Linked DNA regions of Arabidopsis thaliana. The protein of the gene in region 1 interacts with the protein of each later gene in a pairwise test. Each region holds a gene or a part of one and is shown on either strand. Other genes may lie near its edges.

Region 1 (4,209 bases):
AGGACAAAAGCTAAACTATTCACAAAAGAGGCCAAAATCGGTAGAATGAGTGATGAGGTTGATTGGGTTCGTGCCGTGGCGAGTCGGCGGACTTCTGAATCATAGCTGCTGCAGTGCCCCGAACCCAATCACTCTATAATTTTATCAACCAATCATGACTTGCCACGGCACTGCAGCAGCTAAAACGTTAAACGGCAAGCGTTTCCTCTATTAGTTTTATACCGTATCTTTTGTTTCATTTCTTCTGGAACAATCACAAACACTTTTTTTATTATGTCCGTTTCGTTTTACCGTGACCGCGAATACAACTCCACGTTCTCTAATTTGTGCTAAATTGTTTTTTATAAAAGCCCACCTTAAGGCCCATGAAAATGAGATTTGTATGTGATGATGACAAGTTTGATATAGTGAAGAACCAACAGCACAAGCTTAGGCCCATGTTAGGCCCTATGGTTGATGTACAATAATAATGCTTCGATTTGTTTATATAAATTCCCCAGCGAATGTGTTTTTCTTTTGCTCCAAAGACTTGTCTGTTTTTACTGTTTCTTGTCAGAAAACAAACAGTCAACCGCGACATGAACCACAACGCAACCAAGCAGGATTTGCCTTTGCCAGGTCCGGAATTTTGTGCTTTTCTTTTGCTCCAAACACTTTAACAATCATAACACAACAGTGGGAACTGTTTGATTGAGGACTCTACAGAGTTTTTTGTAATTATAACATGATGGTGCATGTACTAATATATTGATACCCCATTAGTAAGCTGTAGAAATAGCTACATTATGAACCTCCGCTACTTTTCCTTTTGCGCCGCTTTTCTCTCTTTTTTTGTGAACTGAATATAAACCTAGCAATTCGATTTATACCAGTCTGGTCGAGTCAGTTACTAGCCACATTGTCGTTCAGTAATCAGTATAAGCCTCTCATCAGTTGTACTTCAGTCTCCTTTCACGTTCTCTCGAACTGTGAAATTTGAGCAGTCTTCACCTGCAACACCAGGTGATCCACTTGCTAACTGGTTCTCACTAGCAGAATTTGGATAAGGAGAATATCGTGGATTGGGGCTGCGTCGTGCATTCCGGTTCTGTGCAGCCGTTGTGCTTCTGGTTGTCTTGGCACGAGCCTTTCTTCCCTGTTAGGTGGTTTCCAAAAAAAAAAAAAAAGTAAGGACTAGAGGTTCAATGAAACAACACATTCTGGAATACTATCTGACAGAGATAAGGAGGCATGCAAGCAATAAGATCACCTTTCCCATGCATTTTTCGAGATGAGGAGCAAACCTTCCTGCAACAATTTGTCGCCCACAGTTCATGCAATTGAACACTTCACTAGCTACAGGAGGGTGAGTCTGCCCAAATATATCAACAACATATTTGGTGTTGGTTTCGAGGTTGTTGCTAGGATCAGCGATCTTCGCACGCGCTTCCACTGACAATCTCAACTCTTCTTCTACTATATCCAAATCACGATCAAGTCCTAGTCGTGCTACCCGATGACACTCAGATGCTACATCAGCTATCACCGAATCCACAAGATCAAGAAAAATTTGGGACGAAAGCTGCAAGCAAAGTTCAAGAGCAAAGAAACGTAAGTCTAACTTAGTTTCCACTAGGCAGTTACTTTAACAAGGAGGAGAAATCTTAATAGTTTTACATAGAACGAGAATGTGGAGCATATAAACAGTAATTGAATTCATCATGAGATGAGACTAAATGAACAAATACCTGAGCATGGGAAGATTTATTATCCTCTGCGCCAGACATTGGAATCCTCTAAATACGAGATTGCTCAACAAAATGTCTGCGAGAAAATCAAAACCAAATCGTAAAGAGAGATTTCCATCACCATCAGGAGCCCTAGAAAAAGCGAATTTCTCCAGAAATCAAAAAAGTCGATCATCACTATCTAACAGATTCGTTTTGGAGTTTCTGTGATAGGAAACTCTACTACTCATTCCTCACAACTTTACTGTTTCAGGTTCCAAATCAAATCATCCAATAAAACAAACCCAGTCTACAAGCATAGATACAGAAACGAAATCGCCGTAGAATCAGAAAGCTTACACTGTAGAGCCGAGTCGCGACGGTGAACGGAGGAGGGAGAGAGAGTTTTTTCTCTCTCGATCTGTTGAATTTTACATCGGCGAAGAAACCACCAATCATGACTTGCCACGGCACCCAGGCCAAGCTAAAATATTAAACGGCAAGCGTTTCTTTACTTAATCATATAAACGACACGGTTTTCCTTCTCACCGTCACCTCGAATAGAAAGAAAACGACACTCCACGTCATCTAATTTCTGTTATGATTTTTTTATTAAAAGCCCATCTCATGGCCCATTCAAATCTCTTTTTTTTTTTTGCAGCACCCATGCAAAATCTCAGTAGAGCACACCTCGATTATAGCTTCTTCTTCTAGTTTGGCACAATTGCTTTTTTGTTTCTTCTGAAAATGTCTCTTTCAGAACCATTCAATTAATACAAGCATACCACGTTTTCTTCTATTTCGAGAATGCGTGAAGAAGTTAGCAATTTTAAATGGGCCAAATCAAAGAGTAATTAATTTTTGTATTCATATAAATAAGGGCAGAAGAAGAAGCAACTAACATGAGACACAAGGTCGCTTCTCTCTTGAGGAAATTTCCGGGAAAGTCACGGAGTCGGTTATGGGAGCCACACGAAAAGGATTTTCTTCAAATTACGAAAACGACGTCGCACGTAAGATCCAAAAAGACCCAATCCAACGCCCCATATGTAGAGAGCAATCACTAACGAACGTCCCAGTCTCACTTTCTACACCAACCTTTATACAAAAATCCATCTACTAAATTATCCCAAAGAAATATATTTAAACTCTTCTTTTCTTCTGTGGTGACATATTGTTTTCATTTGATACATATTCTCCCAAGTCAAATTTATATTTCAGAGAGGAAAAAGAAACAGACACAAATCCCTCCAAGATGATGCATGACAGTATGAAGTAGGTATGAGCAAAGGAGTTGAGATTTGAGAATATTTGAGATTACCTCTCTAATGGTAACTTCTACGGTGGAGGCCTCGAGTCCTGAAGATGGCGAACGACTTACTTTCACTAGAGACAGACACTACGCCATGCATGGTGAGATCTTGACGGTAGTTCTTGTCATCAGCTTCGCCGTCTTCCTCTTGTTCCTCGTGTTGCTTCCTTGTCTGAAACGCCGTTACAGTCACCAGTCCGACCTGTCAGAAGAGGCTTCCTGGAGCGGGACACTCAAGCCCTCACCTGTTGTAAGCAAACAATCCATTTCCACATAGCCATAGGCCAAATAACAAACAAACATGTATTGAATATCTGTTACAAAAGAGTATCTGTTACAAATTGTAGAAGCGTCACTGTTCGTCATCATATGTCTCACTAATGGATAGAACATTACAACATTGTACCCAACTGCAATTGCAGCTGAAAAATAAGATTTGTGGACAACAACAATATGAGATGTTTCACTAATACGTACATACAGAAGAAGATGGGAACAATGAATGCAGTTTTACCTCCATATCAGCAATCAAGCTCGACCCTTTATTTGATGATACATAACAACGAGAGGGTATTATTAGAAGAGTAAGAATCCGGCCAAGGCAGAGGTTAAGGAAATGGTGAGATTGTCGTCAATGTCGGTGCTTATTGGGAGTGATTCCACAAGAGCTGATGCTATAGAGATGACGAGGAAACGAAGAATCATTCCCCCGCTATCCTCGATGTAACCAAATGAAGCAAAGTAGTACATATACGCAACAGATGCTAGAAACCCGGCGGTGGCCATTCCAATGCTACCAGCAAATGATTTGTTTTTGTTGTAAGGAAGCTTCTCTGTTCCAAACCGCCGACCCACAATGTCAGCCATACCTTTTAACAGCAAGTGTGTGTATTAGAATCATCATTCAATGGATTCAAATTCCTAAGACAAAAGTTGCTAATGTTATTGGATCAAACCAGAGCTAACTGTACTTACCATCTCCTGCGCAAAGGTTGCATATCACCGCAATCGCGATTGGGGATGATTTCCAATAGTAGATGCAGGCTGATGTGATTGACAGTACATAGTAAAGCGGCCCCTTAAGTAGTTCCCTGATGCAGAGAGCGACTACAGACACTTTGTGAAGTGACAAAAGCAATAATAAACAGACAAACCGAATTTTGATCATAGATACCAAGAATGCTAAGAGAT
Region 2 (6,854 bases), 900 kb from region 1:
ATGTTCCGTCACATTAATAAATAAAAGCATCATAAAAAGTTAGACAGACCACACCATCACCATGTTCATGCCATTGATAATTTGACGTATATGTGGACATTTCATGTTTTCTCTTTAACACTCCTTTGTTTTTATACATAGGATCTACAATAAGTCTATTATTTCTAGCATATTTTGTATCTATCGAATCTTCTCAATCAAAAGTTAAATTATATGTTGAAATATGTCTTTGATCACATATTGATGTTGTAAAATAATTTGGATGATATGACACTCTAGACTAAAATAAGTAAATTCTAGACCATACAAATCTATAATTGATTCCAATTAGACACGAATATATTATACCACGACCACTTGTTTCTCAATCTAATTTGATGGAACTTATTAATCAAAAGCTAAAAACGGCTGCTCTTTAGATTTATCATTGCGATTAAGAAGCTATAATTTGTTTTTCTTGTTTTGGTGTCTTGCTTGAATCCATTACTTATCAATTTGTCATTCATTACTTCACCAAAAAAAAAAAAAAAGAATAGTGTCGTGTAGCGAAGGAATTATGGGACCTCCAATAAGTCCATAGGGCATGGAATATGACTTAACGAGGAAAATGATGTTTGACTAAAACCATAATTTCACGTTTCCACAAAATGGCACTATCCTCTCTTATTTAATTCTATGATTTTTCTTAATTTCTCTTAATAAGGTGATGATTTAACGATAATTCTGGCTGTTGATACATTCGTTTTAAAAAGATCAAAATATGAGATATCTCATGGTTTATACTTTATAGAACTTGTAATTTTGAGAAAAAGTGGTTATGAGTGCCTACATAATTCTATATGCACTAACATATACATGACCAACTTTTTCAAACAATTGGATCCTTTTTTTCGTAAACATTTGGCTTGCTCTCAAAAACAGTCAAGACATCATGTTCTTATTTATTTTCACCTTTAAAAAGGACAATAAAAACCATTGATTCTGAATCAAAATCACTTTCTTTCATTTCCATGATTCCAAATTCTTCGACCATTTATTCTATGACTTTAAACGTTGGAAATTTTTCCGGCCGATGCCTTCATATCTCATCTCAAAGATATCATGGTCATTGGTTTGTTCCACGCATGTTATATGCTCCACCTTAATATTCTCCGAGAAGATCTTATATCGCCTAAGGTCATAGATTCATCTATCTATTATTCCATAGCCATATCACAGAAGAAACAATCTTAATTAAGGTCATATAATAGAACCGAACGATCATTTGTTCACAAACCGTCTCGATCGTTCTTATGGAAACTTCCCATAATTTGATAAACTTTTCAAAAGACTTTATCCCAAAACTAAAGTGAGTCAACCCTCATTTAAGTCAAGATTTCATTTGCTTTTCATTAATGGTCGAATCATCCATAGGAAAAAAAAAAGCATTTCTAGCCCCTCCACAATTCATATCTTTGGGTTTCGAAGAATACAAAAATTTATACTAATTAACAAGAACATACATAAATTCTTAATTATTTTTTATAACTAAAGTTTCTTACCTTACCATAAATTAAAAATTCGAAACATGATTACATTTTGTATAAACAATGATAGAAAGTAGAAACCACTTCTTAAAAAACACGATACAAAAAGTTAGCAGCAGCCTCTACTTGTCTCGTTCAGTTCAAAGCCCAAAATTTAAATAAAGTTAGCAGCATTAAAAAAATGGTTTGAAAAATGAAAACAACTATTTAGGAATTCACACAGCTCACTTACAGACATACGAAAGGAACAGCGACGAGGAAAAAAAAAAAAAAATTCATTTAAACATTTCTTTACTTTAAGTTTATTTTATAAGTAAACAGTATGTTTATTTAATACTTAGGGAACCTGATACCACTTTGATGTGTTAGTGCGTGGTTCTTGTTCATCTCTCTCTCCCTCTAACAAAAATCTTTTCTTCTGCCAAGAAAAACTATTTCTGAAAATAATCAAATCCTCTAAAGGTTTCTGTCTATTTACTGATATAATTTTTATCTGAAACTTTTATTTTAGCAACTCTCTTCTTCTTCTCTCTTCGTCGTCTTCCTACTTCTTTGTTTTTTCTTTCTTTGTATTGTCTCACCGATTTACAGTTTCTTGTTCTTACTTTACTTTGAATCTTTATTAAGTTTCAAAGATCCAAACTTATACTCTTCAAAAATAGGTATGCTTATTATAAGTATATATCTTTAATCCTCTGTAAGTTTTTGATATTTTATGATCCATTTCTTCTGTTCATAACATTATAAAAAAGGGTTTTGTTTCTTGGATTCCTAATATTGTCTTCTCAGATTTGTTGTTAAATCTCATGTTCCAGTTGGTTCATCCATAAGTAGAGATTATAGTTTTTCTTAAGGGTTAGATTATCTTCTTTCAATGTGTTCATTTTTTTTTTAGAAAAAAAAATAAATCTCAATGAACTTTGGTTTAAATCTCACCAAATGTATGTTCTTTTACCTTCTGTGTCTTGATCTATTAGTTTCTTATTGTGATGTCTTTGAGTTTCATATGATTCCTTGCATAAAATAACACTCCAATCAGATTAGAAACTGATGCTTGTTTTTAGGGGAAAAACTTTGAAGAATTAAAAACCAACTCTTTTGATTGTTCCTATTTGTGATTTGCTTCACCAATCAAACCCATATACTTGAAAATCTCACCCACTAATCCTAATTTTATTCTCTGTTTTTTTTCTAACCTTCACATGAAATAATATTTTTTTACTTGATCTTCTCAAGTTTCTGGGTTTTAAAGACTTAAACTTTAAACTCTTTTTCAGGTTTCATAGGCTCTCAGATTTGGTATTATAAAGATCTGGTGTTATGCAGAAGAGCAGGGACGACAAGGTTGATAAAAGTGAAGAAGTGAATAGTAGTAACAGTGGAAGAAGAATCAAATGTTCTTATCATCCACTGATCAAAGAAGCCCTTCTAATAACAATCCATCATCTTCTTCTAGTTTCTTACATCTGACCAACTCTTGTGATGAGTTAGGTCAATCACATCTTTCAACTTTCTCCATCAGGTAATCTTAAAGTTTCTTCTTCTCCGATTTTGTTGGGGGTTTTATGGAGAAGAAGTCAACAGTTTCTTGTTCTTCACCATTGTTTTAGGAGGCTTAAAGTCTTTAGCTTTCTTGTTAGGTTTGATTACTGATACATCTTTTCTTCTCATCCATTCATTTTTGCTAAATGGGTCAGATTCAAAACAAAATGCTTTTTATTTTTATTTTTCTTTCACCTTCTGTGATTATGTGGAGCTTAATGGTATTGAGTTTTGACTATTCTTTGATCCGTTGGTCCATGATCTGAACGAGTCTCAGTATCATCAAAGAACAAACTTTTCTTTGTTGTGTCATGTCTCTCAGAAGTTTTTTTTTTTATAAAAGCCTGTACCTATGTTTTGTCTGGTTGTTGTACTACTAATGGTTGATGATTTGGTTTTTGTGATGTTTTTTGCAGAGATTATGCATTTAGTTACCGGACCAAGAACATCAAGAAAAGTTGGCCTTTTTCCTCAACAAGTTTGCAACTTTGTTTAAATCATGGCTTAACTGATCCATTGCCACCGATTCAGCCTCCTGAAGTGAAGAAGCCAAACATAACTCATGTGGAAGCGGTAAGTCACAAGAGAAAGTCAGAGAAACTTGGCTCTTATCAGATATTAGTAGAGACTACTAAACAAGGATTTGAGAATGGTTTGTTGGCGAGTGGTTCGAAATCCAAAATACAAGTAGCTATGGTTAACAAGAATCCTAGAAAAAAGTGTGGGTTGATAGTGAAACCTGGAGCTTGTGTGGATAGTGGTGGAAAAGAAGATCATAGTAGCCTCTTTTCAGCTTCTGATTCTATGGCTTTGAGAACTTGTCCCATCTGCAAAACCTTCTCGTCTGCTTCTAACACTACTTTAAATGCGCACATTGATCAGTGTCTGTCTGTTGACTCGGGGCAGCAGCCGATTCGTAAGCCAAACAGGCCTAAGACTAAGCCACGGTTGAAAGTTAAAACCATGACTGATATCTATGCTTCTGCGAAAGAAGGCACATTAGAAGATCTTGATAAAAGAAATGGCACAAAGTGGGCTATGATTTCGAGCTACTCTAACCGTGTTGTCTCTGATGATAAGCCTGAAGTGTCCAACAAAGTAAAGAAGCGAAGCGTGTCGCGTGCTCGCATTGATGAAGATGCTGCTGGCATTGGACCTGTTTACATTGATGCTAAGGGCCAAAAACTGCGGATTTTATCTAAGTTTAACGAGAAAGCTTCTGATCCATCAAGAAGAGAGCATGAAGAAGTTTGTGAGAAGAAATCTTCTAGTGAAGGTAAAGGGGGCAAAAGCTTTAGGAAAAAACTTTGGGGAGAGAAACATTACAAGCATCGTAAACTAGTTCCTCAAAACAGAAAACTCACTGTTCGTAAAAGCAATGCTTCAGAGGTAATTATGCCTTTGCATGATCCGTTCTTGATTTGGTTGTTAGATTAGTAACACAAGTTTCTTTATCATTTTTGTAACAGATACCGGAGTATCGAAGAGGATATTCTAAAGAAGGTAAAGACTTTGAGAGGTCAGAAACTTCAGGTCCTGGTCAAGGTAGAATATTCAACCAGCGGATGCTAACAAAGCGTTCTCTTTCAAGGCATGGAAAGAAGAATGGGACAGACATTTGTGAATCTGAGAATTGGAATTCATTGTCAGAAGATCCTCTTGTGTTAAGAAGTCCAAGTCATGTGAGTACTGATTTGTCCGAGACAGTTTCTTCTCCTTTAAACAGTATAGGGTCATGGAGAGTTTGTGGGGAGAGCCAAGTTTCTGGAAAGAGCTGGGCTTTGTCTAGGAACAGAAGCATTGAAAGTGATTTATTTGTAGCAAATCCCTTGAGATGTTTAACACCTGTGGCGAGAGGCGTCATGAAGTTCAAGAAAGCTCGAATGGATTTCTCTGAGAATGAAGATGAAGATATAGGGAAATGGGAGTCTGAAATGACTCAAGAACGTGAACTGTCAGATTATGATGGTTGGGATGATGATGATGGAGAAACAGATAAGGTTGCGCTAAGCTCAAATCCTTCGTTTAGCGGGGAAGACAATGATTATGAAAGCTATGAAGAGACTGGTGATAACAAAGGAGGTGATGATATGTTGGACAAAACTAAAGATGCAGATGTTGAGTTTGAAAGCATGGTTTATGAGAAAACTGGTTGCGAAACCGCGGAACAAGAAAGCTCGTTCATGGAGGTTGATCCCATTCCTATTCCAGGACCTCCGGGATCATTTTTACCAAGTCCTTGGGATATGATGGGAACTGATGCAGTTGAACATCATGGAAACTCTTCAGTTATCACAAGCCAAGTCCACTCTTCACAAGATCAGTTTGATCTCACTGACAGAAATTCATCGGAATCACCTGTTTCAGCAATTTCAAACTTTGCAGCTCCTGAAACACAGACATTAAGTCTTCATAACATCATCACCACTGACAAGAGACCTTCCAGATTCAGAGACAATGATCAATCATGTTGTTGCCAAAGAAAGGAGAAAGCTCTTGAAGATACAACATTTTGTCAACCACCACCACCACAAATGATCCAACAAGATTTGGATTTCCTGAGTAAGTCTGTGCCTGCGGTTCCTTCAACTCCCAACCCGGTGTTGCGGCTGATGGGAAAGGATTTGATGGTTATTAACCAAAGAGAAGAGCCTTCACACAACGAATCAAGTCCAAAACCAACCTCTCAGTTTCTAGATCTTTCTAAGACACAGCAAGCGTCTCCTTCTGTTAATCTTCTTCATCCTCCTTACAGCGGAAATGGTTATTTCGACACCAATACAAGCTTCTACAACATCCCATGAAAGTTCAGACCAAGAACTCTACTTCTCTCCAAGATACTAAATAATATTCCATGGCATTTCAGATCAAAGTCCAGGCATTTTCCTTAAGCTTGAGATCTTGAGAAGCTAGACACCTCAAGATCTCATGTTTCTCTATAATAAAGAGGTTGAGAATCTCAAAAAGGCTGCTTTAGAAAGACAATGGTGAGACTGAGATAAATTCTCTCCTCATAGGATGATATATATGAGAACTCCACTAAGGTAAAAGGACCCCCACTTTTGTTTTAAGTTTTAAGGATGAAAACTTATAATTATAATGTTATGAAAGCGAATTTAAAATAAATTATATAAGAGTTAACATCATGATGCTTAATTCTCTCTATTTAGATATAAATATTTGTATGGTTGAAATCATATGATGTAGTCAAGATCATAGTCACCGTCATGACATACATTATTATGTATACGCAATTCATTATCTTTTTTTTCCTCACTCATTCCTTATTTTAGATTGCAAACATATAGACTTTATTATACACATTGATATTGAGCGTAAACAATGTCAAAATTAGATGGACAAGGATTTTATACAAAACAACAAAAAAAGAAATAGTTGCATTTGGTGTAGATGAGCTGTTTTATTATTGTTACAAGAAAATTTAAATAAAAATAGGGAGAATATTTTAGTGAAAATAATGAAATATATTTGCGTAGAGATGAGTACAAGCACAACGGCTATGTTGCATGCGCATTTTCAAAATCATTTGCTTATTATCATATGCTTCTCTCACTCCATGTCTTCTTTTGTTTTACATGTTAGTTGATACACATTTCTGTATAATATATAGACACACTTACGATTATATACATAGATATGTATGTATATTATTATTTGTCGCCGGTCCATAAAAAGTTTTATAAGCAAATATTTGCAAACTATACTATTAATGATTCATGCATTGGTAATTCAATTAGTTAGAAGAATGTTACTCCGATGATGTTA

The links.
Region 2: the proteins of AT5G58575 (region 1) and HAP8 interact in a two-hybrid assay, tested with the Arabidopsis thaliana proteins (one large-scale study listed by BioGRID).

What each region holds. Positions count from the first base shown.
Region 1 is NC_003076.8:23,671,956-23,676,164, reverse strand, and holds AT5G58575 (SAGA-associated factor-like protein), read right to left. Parts: upstream 2,633-4,209; 5' UTR 2,609-2,632; intron 2,503-2,608; 5' UTR 2,067-2,502; intron 1,804-2,066; 5' UTR 1,767-1,803; coding exon 1,728-1,766; intron 1,562-1,727; coding exon 1,250-1,561; intron 1,136-1,249; coding exon 941-1,135; 3' UTR 522-940; downstream 1-521. Other genes in the region: AT5G58570 (uncharacterized protein), read left to right, coding at 3,035-3,295; FOLK (Phosphatidate cytidylyltransferase family protein), read right to left, coding at 3,595-3,887, 3,994-4,109. UniProt on the Arabidopsis thaliana protein: Component of a deubiquitination module (DUB module) that specifically deubiquinates monoubiquinated histone H2B (H2Bub). Does not seem to be a component of the TREX-2 complex. Seems to act independently of the SAGA multiprotein complex.
Region 2 is NC_003076.8:22,767,936-22,774,789, reverse strand, and holds HAP8 (hapless 8), read left to right. Parts: upstream 1-1,768; 5' UTR 1,769-1,988; exon of another isoform or gene 1,989-2,188; intron 2,189-2,803; 5' UTR 2,804-2,920; coding exon 2,921-3,048; intron 3,049-3,484; coding exon 3,485-4,457; intron 4,458-4,537; coding exon 4,538-5,872; 3' UTR 5,873-6,337; downstream 6,338-6,854.